Oryzias latipes: one gene and its partner. The protein of the gene in region 1 purifies or fractionates together with the protein of each later gene. This does not show direct contact. Links are inferred from orthologs where the notes say so. Each region holds a gene or a part of one and is shown on either strand. Other genes may lie near its edges. The genes, in order: arfgef3 and phb2.

Region 1 (11,778 bases):
ATATGTTAAAAATATTAATTGTGAAATTTGTTACATTCACAACAAAAGTGTTACATGCATGACATCTTTTTGCCATTATAATGATGTATTGGGCCATATATCTATTATAAAAGTAACCAACGGTCTTTTTATTGATCAAATAAGTCCATTTTAAGTTCAAAATAGCTGCAATTCATTTTCATAATAAAAAAAAGTATTTGACTGTACTCGAATTCACATTGAGAAAACTCAACCAGTGCCCTCTGATTTTTCTTCTGTTTATCACTAAATACTTTTAAAGAATTTGCATGAACCCAACTGACCGTTGTCTGTCTGTCAGTGGAAGGCAGAGCAGAGGGCAGAGTTGACCAGTCCAGAGAGTCCCGCCCAGCCGGTCCAAACCTCATCCAGCTGCTCTCCAGCAGAGACCGCATGGTGGATGCGAGAAGTATCCAAAACCCAGCCGGAGCCAGGGGCCACAGGGGCCACAGCAGTGAGAAGACAAGAGTTTACAAAAGAGGAAGAGCAAGTATCCGCTGACAGCTCTGATGGACACTGAACTGCAGTTTAAGTGATCAGCTTTAAAATAATGACCTCAGAGTGGAGGAGGAGGAGGAGGGGAATGAGGGCAGCAGACGGTCCGTGTGTCCAGCAGAGGGGAGAAATGTCACCGGTCCTGGCGGGAGGATTTACAGCTGCTGGGATCAGATCAACACAGCTGGTTATAGATGCTCACATCCACTCACGTGTGCCTTAGATGTGTAGGATTCAAGTGTATCAGCTTCTTTAAAGTATCCAGGTTTATTGACATAAAAAAAAAAGAAAATCACATTTAAAGTCACATTAAGTTGTCGCCCTAGGTGTGTGATATTTGTTCTCCGAATTTCAACCATCCCCTGGGGGAGCAGTGAGCTGCAGACACAGCCACACTTGGGAACCTTTTGGTGTTTTAACCCCTCAATCCAACCCCTTCATGCCAAGTGTCAAGTATTAAAAACATGGTATTGAGTCCCATTTTTTGTGCCTTTATGACTAGGCCTGGATTTGAACTTACTACCCACCAGTCTCAGGGCGGACACTCTTCACAAGGCCAATGAGCTCTTTAAATATTTGGTGCAAGCAAATTTGAATAAATCTAGTCTAGAAAAGGCCAAACTTTGTTAAACACAGGTTTTGCTAAAAGATCAAAATAAAAAAAACTTCTGAGGTTTGGAAGAATCGTAAAACCAATACAGACCTAGAAAGAACATACTTAATACACACTCTCAGACAGGATTAAACAGGACTTTGTTCCACAGGAATTTAATTTACTCTTTATCGTCCTGTACAGTATATGAACGTTACTATGTTGTTAAAGCTGAATATATTAAGTTTGTGCAGCAGTTGATAAGATTACTTTTTTTTGGTTAACTAAGTAATAAGGCTTTTGTAAATTTAAGTTGTAAAGAATATTTACCTTTTGTTGTGTATTTATTTTTTCATGTCAACAAGACCTCATATAGAAGGATAACTTCCATACTCCATGGATTGCAATAGAACTGGAAAAAATGTATGATAATAACCGAACATTAAATGTATGTAAATGTATGTGAAGAAACTGGATTTTCTAGAAAGGACTGTAATAATAAGAATAGTTAGGTTGGTTCGTTTCCCCTTTCAGTTTCCAGCACACAGAAATGCATAAATGAGACTCAGAGACAGTTACTTAACTTCAGTGAAGATTTACTCCGCACAAAACAGCACAGGGTTACAGACAGAGGAACAGGATCACAAGGTCTGAACCAGGTCTGAACAAAGACACTCAGAACAGGGCTTGGTATATATACCTGACATTTACATATTCAAAAGATGGTCTGGGGATCTATGGTGTGAAAAACCCACCCACATGCTGTTGCAGGCTGGATACTTGAAGGTCATAAAGCTTCAAGTGTCAGATCTCTCTGATGTTCCCACAGACATTTGCCAGAGCACAAACACCAGAACACACAAAAAGTAAAAAGGGAGGATGAGGAGAAACTGTGAGGACAATAGCTTGTTTGTGCTGTCTTAGGCTGTAATATAATTTTGAGATGATAATACATGCTCAGTGAATTAAGTTTAAACCATTAGTGTAATAAAAGGTATAGGTAAATGTAATAATAGTAAAAAGGGGGTTTCTAACTATTCTATTTCTAATTATTCCTAACAATGTATTATCAATTTTCTTCTCTGAAGTTCTTAAAAAAAAAAAAAAAAAAAAAAAAAAAAACGAACCAAGTCAAAACCAATGTATCCCCCCCCCAAAAAAAAGATACAAATGTAATTAATATAAATAAAGTTTAGCCTAAATTACAAAAGACGTTCATACAACTACACATCTTGTGTGTCAGAAGATCCAGAACCTTCTGTTGTAAAAGCAAAATATATCCAACGCAAGAGGCAATCAGCTCCGATCTGTGTGCTCAGCTGTTGGACAGGACAAGTGTTTTAAAAAAAAAAAAAAAAAAAAAAAAAAAAAAAAAAATCACTATCCCAAATGCTTTCAGATGCATTGCTGCCATTTGTGGACATCTTGTTTTGGCCTAAACAGGGCCTTATTGGCAAAGGTTTTGTATTTTTTAGTGTTTATTTGTGAAGAACTTAAAAAGACACTCCCGAACTGAACTTGACATCTTAGAAAGACCAGGTTTTATATTACTTTCCACCTAGCAGACCCTTCAAATCTGGATCAGTTATCAAAAATTGTATAGACACCAATGAATCCCATTACATGTTCTTTCCAAATTAAGTTCATTTGTTAACTACTAAAAAAAAGATAGTGATTATTGTTAGTGCAGGCTTCCACTGACCAGATTTTAGATTTCCTCAACCGTTTTTTGTCAAGCAAAGCAACCTTTCTCCTCTGAAACTGTGTCACATGTCTGGGTCATGTTCGCACTTTTTGATCCGTCTATGTCAGACACAGATGGAGTAAGGATAGTGCAATCAAAAAAGCAGCTTTGCAGGAACTTTGTCCGCTCTCAGACAAACAGGCTCAAATAAATAATCAGAAGTCTCACACTCATCTATAGCACAGTCTACGCAGGATGTCTGTGCAGGTCCATGTTCTGTCCCGGATCAATTTGTCTGATCTCAGAGCAAAGTGGGTCAAAGGCCCTTTCTTTCTCAGTAATCCATCACTAAAGTCCTCAAACTACACTTGACTGTACTGATTATTATGAGTAAGCGTGAGATTAAACCTTTCCAGGAAAAGGACAGTGCAAGAATCTGATAGATGGGTGGTTAAGAGGAGAGGGCTTCACATCCCACAAAGACGTGATGAAACATATGACAATGCATCGATTCTGACCTTGTTGTTAGCAGGCACTCGCTCAAATCTGTTTAAAAAGAAGTGAAGCAAAATCACTAAACATTGGAGTTAAGAATCAACCTGAAAGTGAAGCAGGTAAAGCCCCAGAAGGAAAGTTGAGAGGAGGGGCAAAAGAGGACATATGGTGAAAGTGCTGGTGAAGAAACCTGACATTCACAGACACATTAGCTGACAGATGCAGCCCTAGGACCTAACAGCAACTAAATCCTTTCTCCGTGTTGTTGATCACACTGATGGCTGACAACATCTGTCCTCCCACTGCTCGCGTTTAAATGAGAGCAGGTCAGGGACAGAGGGAGGGATTTAGCCAACTGAAGTAAAACTGCGAGGAACGAACGAGCAGCGAGACATGCTAATGCTCATTCACAGTAATGAGGCCGTCTAAAATGACTTCTTTAAAGAAATAAAGACGCAAGTTTATAACAATGATTGCTACGCTGAAATCAAGGTGCAAGTTTCTGCTCTAAAGAAATGAGAAGTGGGTTAATGCTTACAAAAATAGGAAATTCTAGTTTTTTTTTCCTTTTGAACATTTCCACTGCAACAAGTTGCATTGTTAAATGATTGCAGGCTCACAAAATGCAACTGGAATGAAAATTAGACGCCATGTTAACAAGAGATTTTGGGAAAAAATGCCTTTGAAATTGAAATTAACCCATTGCAGGACGAATAAAGACTTATCTTCTTATCCTAAAAACATCACTGATAAGTTGTCAAGAACACTGCAAATGGTAAACTTTGTTTTGTTTTTACATTGAGTTTACATTTATCACATGATTCTCCATCCATTCATTTTGTTCTGCTCATCCAGGACCAGGTTGTGGAGGAACCAGTCTAAACAAAGATTCCCAGACTCCCAAGCCACGTCCTCCAGCTCCACTGGGGGGACCCCCGAGGCTTCCAGGCCAGCCAAGACACAGTTTCTGCAGTGTGTACTCTGTCTTCCACGGTGGGACATGTCCTGAACACCTTCCCAGGGAGGCGTCCAGGAGGCATCTGGACCAGATGCTCCTGCTCCGGTCATACAGAGACAGGACAGCTATCGGTAAGGCTCCCCGGAACCCATATTCAGAGTATGGATTCAGATGGCTGTAAAATAGCAGCTTACAGAGTTCAAAGCCTTTTTTTTTTTTTTTTAGGAGAAACATGTAGACTTGAGTCTGTACTTCTCTGAAATGAAAAGCCAGCAGGTGATGCCAACTCTGTTTGGCCTCCTAATCAGAAAAGAATTGGAAGAAAGACTTTCTCATATTTCTTTAAGTCTTCCTTCCTTTTGCTTCTAAACATGGTTATTTCATTATTGAAGACAAATATTATCAGAGACTCAAAATATACAAACATTTTTTTTTTAGTTGATTGGATTTGTTAAGTTTCTTTCCCGAAAAAATAATGGATGTTTTTTTTTTGGATATGCAGTAACATTATGTGAAATTGAGGGGGGAAAAGAAATTGAGACAACAGAGTGACTTTTCTTGGTGAAAGCAAGATTTAAAGATCGTCATGGCTGAACATGAGAACCAAGTAGCCTCCAGGCTGTCATACAGAATCAGACGATGTGATTCGGGCCAGCAGAGCATCAGCCTTATCGCCATTTGCACTTAAGCCAGAGATCATGGATGAGCAGGATTCCTTTAAGCCAAACTGGCTCTCCTCCAAATAAAGAGGATAGAATAAAATGACCATGTAGCTGCATAACGCAGAACTCACTCCAGAGGTTAGCAAGTTATCTGACTCGGGTAGTTAGTACAGAATTAGTTGTTTATAATTACATGAACAAAAAAATCAAGATTTGGGATTTCAGATTTATCTGACTCAGTGTATATTGTGGTAAATTGCAAAAGAAGGCCTGGGGACATTGGGAAAACGTAGGAAGAACAATTTCAGTGCTTAACCCCTTTCTGCAAATCTGTTTGGTATTTGATAGGGATACTAATGAAGGATTGGGGAGGAGGGCAAACCAAAAGAGGGCAAAGTTTTTGAGATACTTTAGCTATTCTTTTATTTAATACAGCAGCATAATATAAAAATGTTTTTTGTTAAAGCAAATAATTTTTGAAACAGCTTTTTTGAAATTGATGCATTTCTTAGTTCAAATTTAGTCTCTTTAAGGCTGTTTTTTTAAAATTAAAAATCCCTCATAATTTCATAATAACAAAAATTGTAATATGAAACTAAATTCAAATATTTCTTTTAACTCCAGGAGCTCAACGGTTTAATATCGTTTTTTTTGTCAGACATATAAAAGAAAGACAAAACACTTGCATGTAGAAAGTTTTGTTAAGATGTATCTGCTTCCTGATGGATTAACCTGTAACTACATGACACAGGATTCTTTTTTTCACAAAAAAAATAGAAAATATAGAACACTACAAATGTTTTTCTAAAAGATCTTACTTCAAAGACAAAAGTTGAGTATTAAGAAAAAGATAAAGGCTTTTTAGTGCATCTTCCTGGGATCACTTTGGTTTTTATTCATTTTGGTCACAAGCCACCAGAGCTGTGTACAACTGACAGTCAAAATATCAATGTAGATTTTAAATGGTGAATCCATAACCATCTTCTCAACATGAATATGTGGTTCACTGCAGTGTTGGTGTGAGAAAAGCAGAAAACTTTCAATGAGAGGACAGCGGCAAAGCCAGAAGGAAAATGAAGGAAACAGAACACGGGTGGTCAATGTAGGTTAAAAAAAAAAAAAAAAAAGTAAATCTTCTTAAAAGCATCACAAGCCCCATCCTCCCTGCCCTCAATATGATGAGTTCAGCATCAGTTTGATACTCTTATCATTCACAACTTGTGCTAAAGTGAACATAAAAAAGATGGTCAGAGCAGCCTGAAATTTATTTTTTACTGCAGCCATATTGTTTAAAATACTAATAAATTAAAATGTTCTTAATGGTTATAGGAGGAATAGGATTTTATAATGTATTCTCTAGAGTTTTCATTAAAAAAAAACAGTTCTGTTAGAAAATTAACAGGACTCTGTGCAGGAGTTTGTATTTCTAGATTCTTATGTTTTGTGATTTTTTCTTTCTTCATTTTGGTCCTTCCAAAGTGCGGGGATTGGAAATTAATTATGGATTCATCATTTACTTTGAAATATAAATAAATACATTCGCCTCAAGCATAAACAATAACTGGATTACTAATTTCTGACGTTTGTAGTCTAAAAGGTAAAAAGGCCATCTTAACTCAAGCAGGAATATACGTTTCACGTTTTTATGCCCACCCATCTTTTAGTAGCAAAAGCTCACCCATAATTATGGACAAACTAGACCTTCTTCCATAAAGCTAAAACAGCTGATTTATTTACAAAAATCCAGTCATTTCTGTTGTCATTCATTTAAAATAAAGGGAAAAAACCATAAACTGAGATATGTCAAAGATTCTTATTCTTCCATGTCCTGAAGTTGGGTCATGACATCTGGACTTATTGTCTTCTTATCCAAATGGCTTCATGATGAAGCTGTTAGGGTAAGTGGCGACATATGAAACCAGCCTCTAATGGTCATTTGAGGAACTTCAACATTTGTTACTTTTGGACGACTTCAAATTTGGGTAGAAAATTCAAAGGCTTAGTTCAAACCTTGTGGCTTAATTGGCTAAGGTGCAAATTTAAGATTATAAAAAGAAGACACTTCATTATCCCAGAGTTATTAGAAGAATCTATGCCTTTTTTAAATATTCTGAATTTCAAAATACAACTCCAGTAATACAATTCTAAAAGGTGCTGCTTCAAAGCAGCAAAACTAGCAGTAATCTTATGTTTGTTTGCCAATTACAGCAGAAGAAATCATAAAAGACAAGATGTCTCCAATAGGAAAAAAGAATCATTTAAACAAAGTGTCCACTGACACACATAATCATACATGAATCAACAGCTGGAACAGATCATCAAAACACACATAAGTTTGAATAAATACCCAATAGTAGAAGATTTATTGATAAAGACATTCAGAAGGAGAAATGCTGACTTTGCAGGAGATTTAAAACTGCATCTGGAAAATAATCTTTCACTGAGAGAGAAATGCAAACAATCAGATTATGAATCAGGCCTAAAGCTTCACTTGGACAGAGAAAGAAAATGCTGTCAATCAAATAAATCAAATGAGCACATCTTCGGACTTAGATGTTGTGACCTCCTTTTGATGAAGGAATTAACTGCCATTTTTCACAACCAGGACACTTGCTTTACTTTGACGGAAAAGCTGGTAAAAAAAATAACCTCCTTCCTGCAGAATACAGAAGCGCTGACGAGAAGAGAATGAATGATGTTCAGCAGGAGAAATGTCGTTGCTTTCTATAAACAGGGGTGGATTGTGCCTATCCGAGAAATGCAACGAAGCTCTGAGAAATGCAACTGGATACCAAAAAACACACATCATGATTGTACTGGGACAATAAGATTAAAGCATTAGCAAATTTGCCACCCAGTTTTCAGAAACTGTGAGAAAACGTACCATTGGAAATCTATCGCTGTCTGTAAGCCCATATTCTTCCAGCTTGGATTTTCAAACTTAATTCTCACTTCGTGTGCTTACATCCTTCAGTGAATGCTGCCTCCTTAAGTTTTTTTCCAAGGTCCTCGCAGGGGTGTCACACAACGATGTCATAGAGTCTGCCGACCCGGCCCAGCCACTCTCGGAGCGCCTGCCGGACGCGAGGGTCAGTTACATGACAGGACAGCTGGCTCAGGCAGGGGTACAGCACTGGCTGCAGCGCCAGAAAGGAGGAATCTGACAGAGCCAGAACGTGGTTCAGAAGTGTTAGGACCATAGTGGTCCACGCCTGTAAGAAAAGGAGACAATTTCAAAACACCGACTTGTTATGCAGTTTCAGAAAAACAAAGAAAGCTTAAAGACACACTACAATTATCTTTTCATCTATTGTAAAAACGTTCCCAGTGGTCTTTAGATTATAATTATGCCGTTTTAAGCCATAAAAAAATAAAAACAGGCAGAGGCTGGTACTTTTTCAGTACCTGCCTTATAGAAAAGAAAATGTGCAGCTTTTAATTTTTTTGGAAGTGTTGTTTCTGATACACACCTGTATCTGAGCTTCAGAATCCCTCAGTGAGATGCTGTGGGAGCTGAGGGTGGATCCTGACCGTGGCCTCTTCTCCTGCCTCAGCACCTCTGGGCCAGCACTGACTGAATGCCTCAGATGGGGACCCTGCTGATCAACCAGCTGCTGTGGCCTTTGTGGGGGCGTCTGTGGCTCCTCTGGGGCCCTCCTCTCTGCTGCACCAACAGTCCCTCCTCCTCCTGCCGCCCCTACTCCTCCTCGCCCTTGCTCCTTCATGTACAAGTTGAGGTGACTCTGCTGCGGCTGCTGCTGCTGTTGTTTCCTCCGCTTGTACTCCATCATCAGCTTGCTGATGGTTTTGTCTGTGGCGATGGTATACAGTTTGTTTCCGGCGCTCTCCCACCATTCCTTTCTTCGTCCTGGCCCAGAGCTACTAGAAGTCCCTCCCACTGAGCTCCCTGTGATGTTGGATTCCCTCCTCTCTCCTCCTGTCCGGAAGTGGTGTGGCAGGCTACCCGTGAAGCTGTGAAAACAGAAGAGACAGTTTTTTTTTTCCAGTAGCTTTTATTAGACAGATTAAGATTATTTTATATTACAAACCTGAATCTTGGGCTGGGGGTAGACATGTCTCCTGGCGACACTGCACCCAGGTCTGCTGACTGACATCTGTAACCCCCGTCCTCTGAAGGCGTTCCACTCATCGAGAGTCCGCCTGGGGATGTTGGCGTGGGTGTTTCAGACTGGAAAAGAGGCAGGAAGAACACAGCCTCTGTCCCCCCTCCGGCACCTCCTCTGAGCAGAGGGGACTGCTCCAGCGTGCTCTCCAAGTCCCGGTGCATCTGGATGTAGCTGTTACACAGATCCATGCACACCTTGTAGAGGCGTTTGACCAGCCAGGCCCAGTCTGCACTCCCAAGTGGCTGTACACCGAGTGGCGTGACGGGAGGCCGCCACTGATGGCGCTTCTCTCTGCCACGAGGAGGACTCACCTGCAGGAGGAGACAAGGTTTACACACTGATTTTAAACAGAATGGTCCTGTGTCTGTAAAATGTGTGTCACCTGTGCCGTTTCTTCAAAAATGTCTTCATCCTCCGAGGAGGCAGAACCAGGATGAGATGAGTCGGAGCTCCCCTCTTCATCTTCATAAAGGATCCTTTTCACCTGAAAACAACAGAAGGCTTCAAAAGCAATGCAAAGACAACAGAAATCATGGAAGAAGCTGTAGCTACAGTCGCTACATGGTCCTCAGTTAGAGGTTAAAATGTGATCACCAAATGGTTTATATAAAAGGTGAGCTGGAATGTTAGTGGGTTATTTTAGAGACAATTATCACACTGAATACCTGCTCTGAAAGTCTTGGTTACACCTACCAAACACATAAAAGCGTAGATGTAATATTCGAGGAACACATAAAAAATGTTGAAATAGAGGCATTTTTCTAAAGGTATTAAGCAAGAGAATGCTGCATTTTTAATTTTCCAGACACAGTTTTGTTTTAGAGCCAAGATACGGTCCAGTCTTCATCTCTAGAACAAAGTCTGACGCTTAATTTTTCTGAGACAAACGACACGCTTGTAACACATTCTTTTACTGAGCTATAAAAAACTAAATCTCAATGGCGGATTTCAACGATCACAGTTCTAGTTGAGAAGAATCTTAAATCTGCCCACCCCCTCCTTTTAAAATTGGCATTTGATCAATATCCTTTTTTCATTCCTTTTTTTGCAAATGTATCCCTAAACTAATTTTCTCAGCATTTTTTTAAAACATAAAAAAATACACATTTGGAAAAAAAACAATCCCAAAAAGGAAGAAAAATACGTTTCAATCAGTAACTCTTTATAGACAGTACTAAATATTCTATATTTACTACTAAATCATCATACATCAGTATTTTTTAAATCCGTTTTTCTCCAAGATTATCCCTAAAAACCAGAGAAAACTATTTGTTTAAGAGTTTTGGAAAGAAAAGGGGAAAGACATACCTGTGTGTGAAAACAAGCAGACTCTTGAAAGATCATAACTATAATTTGAAGTGTTTGATAGATCTTGCTAAAAGTTCATCCATATACTATTTGTTAAATTGACTTATACTTTTACAAACTCAATTTCCCATCATACTGCACTAACCATGCATAATAGGTGGGTGCAGTAAAGCATACTACTGTCAATAGACACCAGATAGAAAAATAAAATGCTGAACTACACACAAATAACATTTAAATTGCTAATTATGAAGAGGCAAATTTTTTAATGAACTACTGCCACTCTGCAGAAACTATGTCCTAGAAAATGACAGGTTTTTTTAGTTTTGGTTAAAGATTGTTAAAAGACCAATGGAACACTTTTGTAAAAGATTAAAAGATGATTGAAGTGGGGCTTTTAACTACGGTATTTCCATTTTGACCAAAAGGTGACATTTTAATATGACCTTAGAAAATCTTTAAAATGAAAAATAATTTTTTTGCACAAATTATAAAATAAAAAAATAAAATAAAAAAATGTTTAAATGCGTCATGAATAAATTTGCTGTTGATAGTAACATGGGTGCTCTAAAGTGAGCAGAAGTCCCAACAAAACAACCAAATGTACTCATGGCAGGATTTTCATAAAACAACTGTAATCGTTTTAATGTGTAAAAAGCTTATTTCCCACCTGCTGTGCGGTCATGCTTTCAGCCTGGCTCAGCGTGGCACAAAGCAAGGCCTGGAAGTACAGGTTGAAGCTCATGGCAGATTGCCGATAAAGGTTGGCAGCTCCACAAACTCCAGAGACCTTCATCAACAGATATTTCAGCCCAGGACGAGTGTCAAAGTCCCGAGCCGTCCTGCAAACAGATCAGAGCTCCCATGAGCTACATGTAAAAATATCCTGCATTCCTTCAATTTACCTTCAGAGATTCAAAAGGTAAATAGATGAGTCTTATTTGACTTTTTTGTGTTGCAATAACCTGTAAGAGTCGAGCAGCAAATCCAGGATCATGGCTAAATTAGACATAGAGATGTAGCGCAGGAAGCCTGCTGTGGGTCTCCTGGGGTCAGAGGTCACAGGAGTGACTCTTTCATTTCCTTCAGGCTGTTTGACAAACTCCTCCAGCAGGATGTCATAGAGGTTCTGCAGAAGAACCTGGTGGGAGAGCAAGCTCACCACGATGGTCCGGAACGGGATCCTGCACATTGTTAAAAAAACACTGTCAGAATACATTACTACAGTCTGCCTACCCGTCTGTGTATAAATGCATCTGGGAAAAGAGCCCCACCAGATGAACTTTATGATAACATATTTTAGAAAAAAGTCCATCTCAAACATAAAAGCAATAATTTCAACTAAATCATTTTTAAGCTCAATGTCACATTTGAAACACAGGTAAACCACACTTAATACCCGAGATTTTATCAAGTTTTAACAAAGATAGTATGAATGC
Region 2 (12,949 bases), on another chromosome or scaffold:
CATCTGTGATATTCGACTGAGTTTACGAAACCAGGGTCTGCGCGCGGCGCGGAACCCGTCTGGCTAGCTAGAACCAGCCGCGGCTCTGCCGTGTTTACCAAGATGCTGAAGAGTCCGAGTGGTACACGAATGCACCACGGATTCGGCACTGAAGGAAACGAGCAACTTAGTATCCAACTGACTCGGAGCCGGGTCAGACCACAGAATCAAAGCTGAAATTAAATGGAGAGTCAGATCAAAGCCAGTACCGGGTCAGAGTGAGGTCTACCGGTACCGGTTGGAAGGGGGGGGTTCATCTGAATACCCAGAGGTCTTTGCAGGCACACGATGGTGATCCAGAATCTGAAACTAGCTTGACCTGAAGGTCCAAGGACATAAATGAATCTGCAGGCGGTGAAGAGGAGGAGAGCCGTCTTGAACTGAAGATGAAGATCTTTATGGTTGAAAACTGATCTTCATCACAACGGTTACTGGTCTGGGACTCTTCTCCATCCCAGTTTGTGTTCTGACAGCTGTGCCAAAGCTCTGCTTCATAGTAGGCGGCTGGTTTCTCCGCTCCAAAGTAAATGCAGATCCTGCAGATTAGACTGAGTTACACTTGAGGGGATTAGAGGAACCTTTGAACTCAGCACACTTTTCCAGGGGGTGGGGGGGGGGGGGTGTCAGGTGCTGATCACCAGTCCTGCCTGCTCACCTCAAGGCACGGGCCACCACAGTGGCACTTTGGTACAAAAAAATGTTGGTTCTGAGCAGCGTGGCGGTTCACAGCAGCTCCTGGCTTGAGCTCTTGACTTCACTTAACTCCTTTGGCAGAAACTGGATGAACCTCCGCGATGCGGAGACGGGAAAGATTTTGTGGCAGGGGACTGAGGACCTGTCGGTACCGGGGGTGGAGCATGAAGGTAGGTCGCCACTCGGAACTGGACTCAGGACAAGCTACTAAAGACAGCAGAGGGGTTAGCCTCTCACACAGCCAGGAGGGACTCTAAAGAACTGATGATCCAGGAGGATCTGCTTCTCTGAAGATGAGCAACCGGCTGAGCAGTTGCTCTTCTGAAGCTCATATCCTCTGTTTTCTCAGCTCGCGTACCAAAGAAGATCCTAAAGTGCAAAGCGGTGTCCAGAGAACTGAACTTCTCTTCCACGGAGAAGCTGGAGAAGTTCAGGCTGGAGCAGAAAGTTCTCTTCAAAGGACAGTGTCTAGAAGGTGAGATGCCAGACGTCTTTCCATAGAGCTAGAGTGTGTCTGCTTGAACCCCAGAGAATTCACACCGACAAATGTTTCTCCTTCATCCATCACTGCAAGATTGTTCATATTCGCCTACCCGTTGTCATAGTAACCAGCATTGGTCTTTAACAAACAAGTCTAGTTTCCCTCAAGCTGCTACACCAGTGGATTTTTTTTCCCAAATCAATTCTGTGTTCGTGTTCCTGCCAGGGCGTCCCAAAGGGGCAGCTGTTTCTCAGCTCTACCCACGGGACGCCCCACCCTCCTCATCCCAACATGTTTTTCTGGAGTTTCCAGAGCAACAAGCAGCACTGTGATAGTGTGTCTTTTGTGCATTTGCAGAGTGGTTCTTTGAGTTTGGCTTTGTCATCCCAAACTCCACCAACACGTGGCAGTCACTAATCGAAGCTGCTCCAGAATCACAGATGATGCCTGCCAGTGTTCTGACGTGAGTCTACGTCTCCTGTCTGCTGGTGATGTCCTTGCTGCCTGGCCCATTTCATGAAGCAACCGCACTAATCGGACTTCTACGTCCTCGAGTTTAGATCTGCACACTCTCACAACTAACTGTGCATGACTGGCATGTGCAAAACTGCACAGGCTTTAAAGTGCACACACTCACAATTGTGCACTCTTACAACTGTGTTCTCTCGAAGCTGTACATGCTAACATCTGCACACTCTCACAGCTGGAGATGCTCACAACTGTTAACAATAACAAAAATACACTCACAACTGCACAGTTACAACTGCACATGCTCACAATTGGGCATATTTACAAATGCAGTAGTTCTAGTTGCACAATCTGACAACTGCACATGCTCACAATTGGGCATATTTACAAATGCAGTAGTTCTAGTTGCACAATCTGGCAACTGCACATGCTCACAGCTTCACACACTCATATGCCCACATTCAAAACTGCACACACTGCAACTAAAACACTTAAAGGTGTACTTGCATAAGTGGAATGCTCACAATTTACATTTGAAACGCTACTCCCAGCTACCCATGCTTTTAACTGTGTGTGACTAGGGGTGTTAGAAAAAATCGTTTCGGCAATATATCGCGATAGGTCATTTGGCGATACTTGTATCGATTCAAAATGCTATCAGGACGATATTTATTTAATTATTTATGAGCCCTCCGACCGCTAGTTGGCAGCAGAGCACACGGAGCCTCTTTGAGCAGCTCTACACCACACAAAACAACAGGAAGATCTGAGCTAGAGGCAGCTTTATTCATTGTTATGAGACATGATATACTTAATTTTTACTTGGGATGGGAACCGAACCCAAACTCTGAGCCATGTTGCTGCCAGTATCATACAAAAACGCGAATGGCAGTGCTTTTTAGCGGACTCAGAGACTGCAGCTGCACCGCGGCTATTGTGAGAAAGCGTGGCTGCAGCAGCGGTTCAGACTGAAATTTACACAAGCATCTTTGCCACATAAAGCGTCTCCTTCATCCTATCATGCTGCTTCATCATCACACTTTATTGTTTCTTCAAAGAATTTGTGTTTTTGAAGTACCAATATTGAAAATAAACAGCGCTTTATTTCCTCAATCATATTTTTAGAACCTTATTGGTTAAGGTACATTCACTCCTTTTTTTTTTCTTATTGTGGAAATCAGACAATGTTGACTCTTACCTTTCTATAGTTTAAGTTACCAGAATAAAAGAATTATAAATTTGCCTGGCTAAAAGCAACTTCTATATGAGATACAGTTGCAGTGCTTAAAATTGTGATCATTAAATAAACATAATTTGACCATTTTATTACAATGGAAGACATACAATTCCGCGGAAAAGAAAGAAAATGTGTTCCGGTACAACATGGGATACGTAACGTATCGTCAGACTCTTGTCTGTGACCACAGCTGTGCATCCCATTACCTGTGAGCTCACAGCTGCACATGCTTACAGCTTTTCAAGCTCACAACTATGCACACGTACAACCTACGCTTTGACAGTTGTGATGCTCAAACTCCATGCACTCATATTAGTTTAAAGTGTGCAGCCCAATGGAGGACTAGCTTCTACTTGTGTTTCTTACAACCAACATGGTTGTGTTTGCATGCATTCACTTGTGTTTTTCATTTTGCTGCTTGTTGTGTGTTAGGATGTTAAATATTACAGAACGTGGTGTAACTGCAGCCCTTCTTTGTCTTCTAGTGGGAACGTGATCATAGAGACCAAGTTTTTTGATGACGATCTCCACGTTAGCACATCCCGGGTCCGGCTTTTCTATGTCTGAGCCCGAACTAGACCTCTGACTGTGCCCTCTAAGTGCTGACGTCCTCCACCGTCACAAACCACCACGGTTAGGTCCAGTTGGCAGCAGTGGTGCTGATGTGGAGTTGGCACGCTCAGGTCCTCAGTCAACAAAGCGAGCTTCGTGTTTTGGTTGCCCCCCTGTTTTGAGGGCAATGAGGAGCCGCACTGTTTCCAGCTCCAGGAACCTATCCCCACATTTCTCTTCCACCTGATGGACCAAAAGCCTCCCCTTCACTCCTCTTTTTGCTCCCTGTTGAACCCGTTTGGAGGCTCGGTTGTTCGGGAACATGACCTCATGTCAGACCAATAAATCTGTGTGTGAACTGCTCCAGATGTTCATGGAAAGCTTTCTCTGGACAGCACTGCTCACGGATTTGGCCACATCTGACCGAGGAGTAAAATTTCAGGTGTGTTCAGATCCTGATGGTGCTGCAGGTCCGTTTCAAATCAAACTTCCTCTTGGCTGTGTCCCATTTCAGAGGTCACCCTCTTTGTTCAGGACCATCAAGCATCAGGTGAGGGCAGGTACTCACCTGTGTGCTGATGGACAGTTTGAAAAGGGCTTTCGTTGGTTTAGTACAGAACCTTTCTTAGCTCAGAGACACAATGACTGGATTCGGCGAGCGGCCCCTGAGGTGGGACACAGCAGCTCCGGTCAGTCCAGGTTCAGCTGACAGACTCTCCTAACTGCTGTCCTCCAGAGGAGTCACCAGATGTTCACCAGCAACCTCAGAGAGCTTTATGAGTGTCAACTGTGGAGCCTTTCCAAGCTCTGTTCCACTGCAGCACTGAGGCTTGGCTCCATTTTTCCTGTACAGCGTGAACCCCTGCAGCTTTTTCCTGAACATCCTCATAGATTTTGGAAATTTCTCACTTTGTTTTTTTTGTTTTTTTTAGCTGCTCTCTGAACCTGTGTGGAATAGATTTGTGTTTTACTATGACAAGAGTTGTGAATTAAAGTTTAACAATGTTGTAATAACACAGTGTCCTCTTTTTAATAAACATACAAACGCAGCACATCTGAACATCACAGTTGAAACTGAATAAAACCGACCTGATGTGACAGTTGATGGACTGTGACTGCAGCTCGTTACAGATGCAGGAGCTGAAATGAGTTTCGTCATCATTGACTGTATAACAGAACTGGACTGACCCCCCCCCCCCCCCCCCGTTCCAACTAGGAGGTGCCGGCTGGATCCAAGAACTCAAAGTCTCAAACTTCAATGTCACAATAACCATTCTTGCGCTGTTCCCTTTTTCTTGACATGTTCTTGCTAATCCTAATTTTGTTTTCATATTTTGTCTGTAGTTCATATTATTCCAGTTATAAACTAGCCAATCAGATGCCTCAATGAAAGCAGGTGGCCTTGCGTTGAACATGTCACATTTTTTTTTTTAATTTTCCTGAGCCTGTGCTCAATGAAAGGAGGTGTGTCCTTCGAACATGCTCACTCCTCATTGGAGAGACAGGTTGCCATGAAAATGTTGACTTAGTCGGACTCAGACTTATCACGGTTTACTGAGGACGTCTGGCGATGGCTATTCTGTTGAAAAATGGCGACTAAATTGATTTGCAGATCATTTTCTATGGGTGACATCACGCATGCTTGGTCCAGTTCTCTTGCAGTCAGTGGTCCAAGCTGTCTGTCTCTCATAGTGAAACAGCCGCACAGACAAACAAAAACTTGCAGGTTTCGAAGTGATTTAGAAATGTGAAGTCTGTATAGAATGGAAGTTCATAACAGATTTTTTGGAACTGAACCCAAGACTTCACTCCGACCATCTTTTGGTCCATTTTCAAAGCGTTCCCATTGGTCTTTGAATTATTATTATGCCATTTATCCAAAACAAAAAACCTGTTTCATTTTTTAGGACATAGTTTCTGCAGAGCGCCAGGAGTTCATTAGAAATTCACCTCTGATATGTGGGCAGCACAGTTGGTGCAGAGTAAGTCTGCCCACACTTCCCAACATCCCTCTGTTTACACTCTCTCCCACTAGCTAACAGTCTCCCAATGACCCCAACCTTCTTTATACGAGGATGGTTCTCTGAATGCATCAGAATGAACCAGAGCAGAGAGCTTGTGGCTTGCCTTAGGAACACGAACATCACACAAGCTTTTTCAAACAGCATTTTTCCGTCTGCTCCTGATTCACAAAGATTTAATTAGAAATACTCAGAAATGCAATTATTAGCTTACATTTCTTTATATCCTGAGAAAAACGCAACAAAAACACGTCAAAAACATAAAAAAAACCCCACAATTTTCATTGGAGTTGGTCTTCAGAAGAAAACACAGTTGGACCAGCTGCAGTACCGTTTCTTACTCACAGGAGGCAGCAACACCGGATCCCATATAACTCATTGGGATCCACCTACTTCACTGCAACGTCATGTCCCAGCATGCCTTGCGCTAAACTGCGTGCGCAGCGAGCTGACCTTGGGTACCGTTGAACAACATGTCGAGCAGGGAGCCGAACGTAAGTGTTCTGGACCGTAAAAGAAAGAAGGTTCCGGTCAGATAGCGCTGTGTATCCGCTTAGGTCAAAGCAACTGACAGGGTAGTTGCTAACTGCGCAAGAACCTCGCGCCGGTGTTTTGCAGCCCACGTGACTACTTTACCTTTGCGGAGGCACGGGTTATGGTAATGTGTGCCGTTCATGTAAAGAAGTGTAGTTTAGTCTAGTTGGAATCTACAGTCTTAGTTCAGACTGATAGTTTATTTAGCTGTAGTCAAATGTATAAGTTGCAGTTCCGTCAGTGAGTTCGGGAAGCGCGTTCTACGGTTCTGACCCATCTTCTCACGAGGGAGAGATGGGAGCTGCAGTCAGTCAGGCAGGCACAGCTCACTACAGCTCCTGCTCTCCATTGTTAGTCCGGAAGGCATCTTACTGTGACCCGGCTAGGGATTAGAACCCGCAACCTCCTAGCTAGTACAGAGTGGTCACTCATCCACTGTAGTTCACAGAGCTGGTTAGTTTGGATTGGTTAAGGAATTTGTAGTTTTTGTCCCAATTTTATTCAGATGAGTTTAGTTATGACAGGTTTAGCTCAAACTGGTTAAGGTTAGTCTGGTTTCTTCCAGACAGGTTAGTTTACATAGACTGGTTTAGTTCAGACTAGTTTATTTTACACTGGTATACTTTAAAATAAACCTATTTAGTTTAGAATAAACCAGACTTGACCCTAAAGCAGTTCATATGGCCTTTTTTATAGTTTGACCAATCCGTGGTTTGCATTAGACTGGTTTTGTTACTAGTTTAGACTAGTTGAGTTCATTCTAATCATGTCTTTTTTCCCATCCATCCCTGCTGTTCTTTGGATCCGACCACAGCGCTTCTTCCAGCACCTGAGAGATCTGTCAGGCCGGATGTCGTCTGGCGGTCGGGGGGCGGGGCTTGGACTTAAGCTGCTGCTGGGAGCCGGCGCTTTGGCGTATGGCGTCTATGAAGCTACATACACAGGTGAGGCCAGGAATCTGGTTTCTGCTGTAGCAACTGTGATCATGTGTATCAGGGGGTAAAGTGTAAGAGGATAAACAAAAACAATTAAAAGTGGACAAAGCAGGACCAGATCAGGAAGATCTACAAATAAAGGTAGTTTGTGAATTTGTGCATCTGCAAGATTTAACGCTGTGATGACCTTAGACAAGGAGGAACTTATTCAAAAGTGTCTTTGGGTAAACACCTGTTTGGACTACTGAAGGTCTTAGAATGAGCAGCGTCTCACCTTTTTGTCCATGTCCTTCACAAACAACCAGTGCAAGCAATTTCAAGCTGTGCAACATCCATATCACAAAGGTCTGCGAAAATCGCAATAAATTGTAAGCCTTAAATGTGCTACAACAATCTTATGGCAGCTTGAAGTATTTTACAAATTGAAAAAATCCCTTTATTCATTTGACCAATCAGATACAACCCTTCACGTTGTTGACAATCGGATGGTGCTTTTATGTTAGATGTTTGCCTCCTTTTTAGACGAGGGTCATTTGAAATATAATTTAAATCTTTCCCGCTATTACTTTTTTTCCTTTCCGACCGTGGTCAGAAGCGCGGGGGACTGAAGGCGGATCCTCCTTCGGGGTTCACTACCCCGTTCAGACCCTCAGATTCTCCAGAGTCACAGAAATTCACATTTAATTGGAAATGTGAACGGCCTTGCAAAAAAATCAAACTTTTTCAAAAAATCGTAATTGAGCATTAAGCCTTGCAGTGTAAACGTAGCCTTAGTAAAGGTGATGTAAAGCAGCTGCTGTTCATCCAGAACGCTGCTGCTCAAGTCCTGACCAAAACCAGGAAGGACGACCACTTCACTTGGTCTTAGGCATCTACTTCCTGTTGCTCAGAGAACAAACATTAGAACAGATCTGATTGTGTTAAATTCTCTCCATGGCTGAGCACCAAAGTACATCTCTGACCTGTTCAAGTTTAGATAAAAAGAAACTTGTTTTTAGATCAGTGTATGACTACTGAATGTCTTTGATCAGCCTTCGTCTTTTTATCTGGTTTTCAAGTGATAAATTGTAATTCATCATTTTGCTGTTTAAGTTTACTGTTGTTGTTTTGTATTATATGCTTCGAATTTGCCCATTTTTTTGTTCCAGTCACATTGAATAACCTTGTTTTGTGTGTGTGCAGTTGAAGGCGGTCACAGAGCCATCGTTTTCAACAGGATTGGAGGGATGCAGATGGACACAATCCTGTCAGAGGGGCTTCATTTCAGGTAAGTTTCACTGAGTCGGTTGTGACAGAAAGGGGTGTGGTCTGTGGTCTCTAGTTCACTGTGGGGACTTTAAGAAGTAAATTATAGCATGTAATCATGCCCAGCTATTCCCTCGGGTCTGACTGGCAGGCAGACTTGCTTCCATGTGGACTGACTTCTGTTTTAAATCGGTTCTCTGAAGTTGGTTGACTTCTTCTGCGTTTGTGTCAGTATGTCAGAAAGCACCAGTTCATAACTTGGAATGTCTCAAAACACTGCTCAAAAACATCAGACAGAGCTTTATAAATTATAATTGTTTAATCTAATTTAGTCCAGATTATTTTACCTGTATTTCAATGAAAGCTGCTGAAATGACCAACAGATTGCATTGAGTTTTGGTGCCTGAACCGAGCGAGCAAACGGTAACAGTGGAAAGGAACATTTTCTAAATAGAAAATTAGGAAAGAAAAAAAGCAGAAACAGACTGTGTAAGGATGACCGTGTGCCTCGGGCAGATGTAGTTTGAGAGGACAGGAAAGAGACGGACACAGACGAACTGGAACATCTGCTACAAGGCAACGTCTGGTTTGTGTGTCTGTGCAGGATTCCATGGATCCAGTACCCCATCATCTATGACATCAGAGCCAAACCCAGAAAGATCTCCTCTTTGACAGGCAGCAAAGGTAAAACTCTCACTGTCTTTGCTTGGGGGTTGGATGTAGAGCTGGCCATGGTTTCTTTTAACTACCTGGGCCAGGTGTGTATAATCCATGACTGGTGATACCGGACTTCCTGTTATTCGGGGCACCTGTGTAAGGTTCTTGTGTCATTGTGGTCCCTCTACATTTGGGTGAAATAAAATTGAACCTTCTTGTGTTGTGTGTGTAGACCTGCAGATGGTGAACATCGCCGTACGCGTCCTGTCCAGACCTCTAGCCTCCAATCTGCCCATCATGTACCAGCAGCTGGGTAAGGACTACGATGAGAGGGTTCTGCCGTCCATTGTAAACGAGGTTCTGAAGTCTGTGGTGGCCAAATTTAACGCATCGCAGCTGATCACACAGAGAGCTCAGGTGAGTTGGAGCTCTCCTCTGTAACAGGCGACATCCCATAGTGAGGTCTTGAGCTCTGCTAACGCTGTGCTCTGATTGGAGCAGGTGTCCTTGCTGGTACGCAGGGAGCTGTATGACAGGGCCAAAGACTTTAACATCATCCTGGATGACGTGTCCATCACCGAGTTGAGTTTCAGCAGCCAGTATACTGCTGCTGTGGAGGCCAAGCAAGTTGGTAAGTGGGCACACACCTGCGCCAGGTAGAACCAAGCCTGCAGTCACGTGATGGCAAATAACAAGCCGGAGTGAGAAAATAAGCCGTTGAGACACAGTGAATGGGACTTAAGCCCTCATTAAGAGCCAACCTTTGTGTCTGTGTGTGTTTGTGCGTGCCTATAGCTCAGCAAGAGGCCCAGAGAGCCCAGTTCTACGTAGAGAAAGCCAAACAGGACCAAAGACAGAAGATCATTCAGGCAGAAGGAGAAGCTGAAGCTGCCAAGATGGTAAGCGACAGGGTGACCCGTCAAGGTCTACGTGTTTCTTCCAGTCAGGCTCAGACAAAACCAGGTTCTGACTGAAAGAAAAGTTGTTGAGTTGGTTTCAGCCACACTGATCGATCTGTCTGCATCTCAGCTTGGCCAAGCAGTGACAAAGAACCCAGGTTACCTGAAGCTGAGGAGAATTAGAGCGGCGCAGAACATTGCCAAGACGGTCAGAGACGTTTTTTCCTCTGCAGCACAAGAGTTGTTTCTGTCTGTGAGGATGATGATGATGATGACGGAAGATGTTGTTTCCTCCAGGTGGCGGCGTCCCAAAACAGAATTTACTTGAATGCGGACGGTTTGGTCCTGAACCTGCAGGATCAGTCGTTCTTCAACACGTAGGTTCACACACAAAGGTCGCACTGACCTCCCAACATCTTAGGCTTAACAAGCCTAAAACCTGCTTGTACTAATGCTAACAGTGATCTTCCAACATGCTAACCCTGACCTGTAAAGCCATTGTGGTCTATGCCGATCTAGTGAGCACTGATGGATACTTGTTTTTGCAGTGACATCTTGAAAATGGCGATCATCCTCTGAAGTGCACTAAGTAGTGAGGGAATTTGGACACAACCAATGTGTTAATGCTAACAAGCTAGCTCTGACCTACTCACATGGTAATGCTAGCAAGCAGTGTTGCCAGATAGTCATGGTTTTCCAGCCCAAAAGTCATCTAAAAAGCGCCGGGTTTCACAAGAAAACGATTATTTAGCAGTAATTACTCATCCTTTAATTAATACTTCTCATTTTGATTGAAAGACCAACTTTGAGACATTTTTAATGATATTACATCCACAATTCAATATCTGTAGAATTAAGAAAAGTGCCATCACTGTCCATTAGGTGGACAATGTCCATCTAACTTTTGTAAAACATGAATTTTTGTTTGTATAGAACAGATCGATTATTCCAAATCAAATCAAACTGTGTTTGTATAGCACTTTTTCAACTTGTGCTACTCAAAGTGCTTTACATAAAAACACAATTAAATCCTAAAAACAAAAGACAAGACATTACACAAATATTTTGTCTAAAACCCCTCAAATAGTTGGTGTTTGGACCGAAGTTGTGGATGTAGATTACCGTATTTTCCGGACTATAAGTCGCCCTTTTTTTCATAGTTTGGCAAGGGGTGCGACTTATACACCGCAGCGACTTATATTAGAAATAAATTCAAATAAATACATTGTTAACCCTCCTGTTATGTTCATTTGTGAGGAACAGAGATGATGTTCCTGGGTCAATTTGATGTTTGAGGGATGTTAAGTGTTAAGAGTATGTTAAGTGACTCAGAGAATCAGCAAACTTTTTTTTACAGTAAGATCTTGAAGGCTAACAACATAATATTCTATTTTCCAATGATTTCATAGATTCAGAAATGCAATAAAAATGAAAACTGTTTCTACAAATACAGGCTGAAAACAGATTATTAGTTGGCCAATTATGCTTCATGAAAGGAATAAATAAATAAGTTTGAGAAAGAATTACTGTGAAATTATGAGATAAACAGTCTGATATGATTGTGTCATATAAGGTTGTGCAAATTATTAGTTCTTGGTCTCAGATTTTGTCAAATAAATTTCCCGTCAAAATGCGACTTATAGTCCAGTGCGACTTATCTGTGTTTTTTCTACTTTATAATGCATTTTTGGTCTGGTGCATGCGACTTATAGTCCGGAGCGACTTACAGTCCGGAAAATACGGTAATTTCCAATAGACCAAGACTTGTTTGTGGTATTTAGAAAAATTTGATTGGTAATTTAAAAGGATCAGAATCACATTTAAAACAAATCCGTCCCACCCACCATCTAAAGCAGATGTGAAGGAATGGTAAACCAGATTGAATGTTTTAGCTCCTGTATTTTCAAAGTCAGTGGCCTTCATCTCGCCTTCCTCCCCTTTTATTGGTCAATTCCATTCCGACAGGACAAATCAATCTGGTTTCATCCCAGGAATAGAAATTGATTTATCAACTAATCGATTAATTGCTACGCCCCTACAAGAAAGGGTCTTGAAAACCCTAAGCGGGAAACTCTTCGATACATAAGATCGCAAAAATGGAGTCAAGTGACCTCTAACTTTAGCCTAAACAATAAATGAATGTTTTTCTCTTAATCGCCAAGATGATGAACTGCTGTTGTGCGTGTGGACTGTCGTTTGTCCACATGCACAGTCTAATAGCTTCATCTTAATCCACAATGTTTTGGTGATTGTCCATCTGGATGGAGCCACACAGCGACCTTAACGTTGGCTGACCTTCATGCTGCTGAACCAGGTTCTTGTGTTTTCAGTCTGTCCTTGATGCAGAAGAAGTGATGGAGAGAAAGAGGATGGCGGCTCAGCTGGGACCTCCCCCTGACTGATAGACAGCTGCTTTGGTGGGGGGGTAGAAAGGGAGTAGAGATACCAGTACCACATTTACCCCCCGTCTACCTGACTGGATGAGAAGATCGTCATCCTTTGTTGAGGATTGGTTGTTGCCGTGTCCCAGTTGGAGCAAAAGATCCCGGTGACATTTGTTGTTTTTGTGAATTTATGAAATAAACTTAAATCCAACTGAGTTAAAGGGTCTGGTTTCTTTTTGCATCACCTGGGGAGGGGGGGTTGAGCCAGAGCTGATGAGATGACCTTCAGTTCTGCAGTGTCCAGGTGTTAGACACAAACTGACATCAGAGAAGAAACATGAGTCTGAGAAGAGTATAAAACGATAGAAGACAACAAATCCATTATTCCACAAAGGAGAATCATTGTTTCATCTAATTTCTGACCTTCAGAAGATCATTCAGGCAGATCATCTGGTAGTTGGAACCTCCATATATCTGCAGACCTTTGTCTAGGATTGCTCAGATCCTTTCAGCAAAAACATCCTCACACTCACCAGCTGTGAGGTTCTTAACCATTTTGCTGTAATAGAACTCAGACATGTAATCCAAAACAATGATGGAGAGGAGAACCAACATCCTGGATCGAATAACTCAAAAGTTAAATCCTCAAAATTTCTCTCCATAATCCTCAGACTCATGTTGAGGTCGACTTTTTGGGGATCTACAGGTTTGTGGGCCAGACCTGCAGACAGTTCCGGGTGTGTCCACCAGAGGGCGGTGTGGACGATGAGACTAAACCACCACAGAGGAAGAGGTTGCTGTTCT

Evidence for each region.
Region 2: the proteins of arfgef3 (region 1) and phb2 purify together in Homo sapiens (affinity purification with western blotting; 4 studies listed by BioGRID). This does not show direct contact. The link is inferred for Oryzias latipes from reciprocal best matches to the Homo sapiens genes ARFGEF3 and PHB2.

The regions. Positions count from the first base shown.
Region 1 is NC_019873.2:14,395,169-14,406,946, forward strand, and holds the end of arfgef3 (brefeldin A-inhibited guanine nucleotide-exchange protein 3), read right to left. Parts: intron 11,524-11,778; coding exon 11,305-11,523; intron 11,182-11,304; coding exon 11,010-11,181; intron 9,516-11,009; coding exon 9,414-9,515; intron 9,343-9,413; coding exon 8,954-9,342; intron 8,877-8,953; coding exon 8,375-8,876; intron 8,117-8,374; coding exon 7,925-8,116; 3' UTR 5,763-7,924; downstream 1-5,762. UniProt on the Homo sapiens protein: Participates in the regulation of systemic glucose homeostasis, where it negatively regulates insulin granule biogenesis in pancreatic islet beta cells. Also regulates glucagon granule production in pancreatic alpha cells.
Region 2 is NC_019862.2:5,429,138-5,442,086, forward strand, and holds phb2 (prohibitin-2), read left to right. Parts: upstream 1-5,860; 5' UTR 5,861-5,964; coding exon 5,965-5,985; intron 5,986-6,839; coding exon 6,840-6,969; intron 6,970-8,142; coding exon 8,143-8,227; intron 8,228-8,809; coding exon 8,810-8,889; intron 8,890-9,094; coding exon 9,095-9,279; intron 9,280-9,363; coding exon 9,364-9,493; intron 9,494-9,657; coding exon 9,658-9,761; intron 9,762-9,891; coding exon 9,892-9,969; intron 9,970-10,058; coding exon 10,059-10,138; intron 10,139-12,091; coding exon 12,092-12,116; 3' UTR 12,117-12,360; downstream 12,361-12,949. Other genes in the region: pde6d (retinal rod rhodopsin-sensitive cGMP 3',5'-cyclic phosphodiesterase subunit delta), read left to right, coding at 814-902, 1,082-1,207, 1,571-1,676, 3,404-3,485.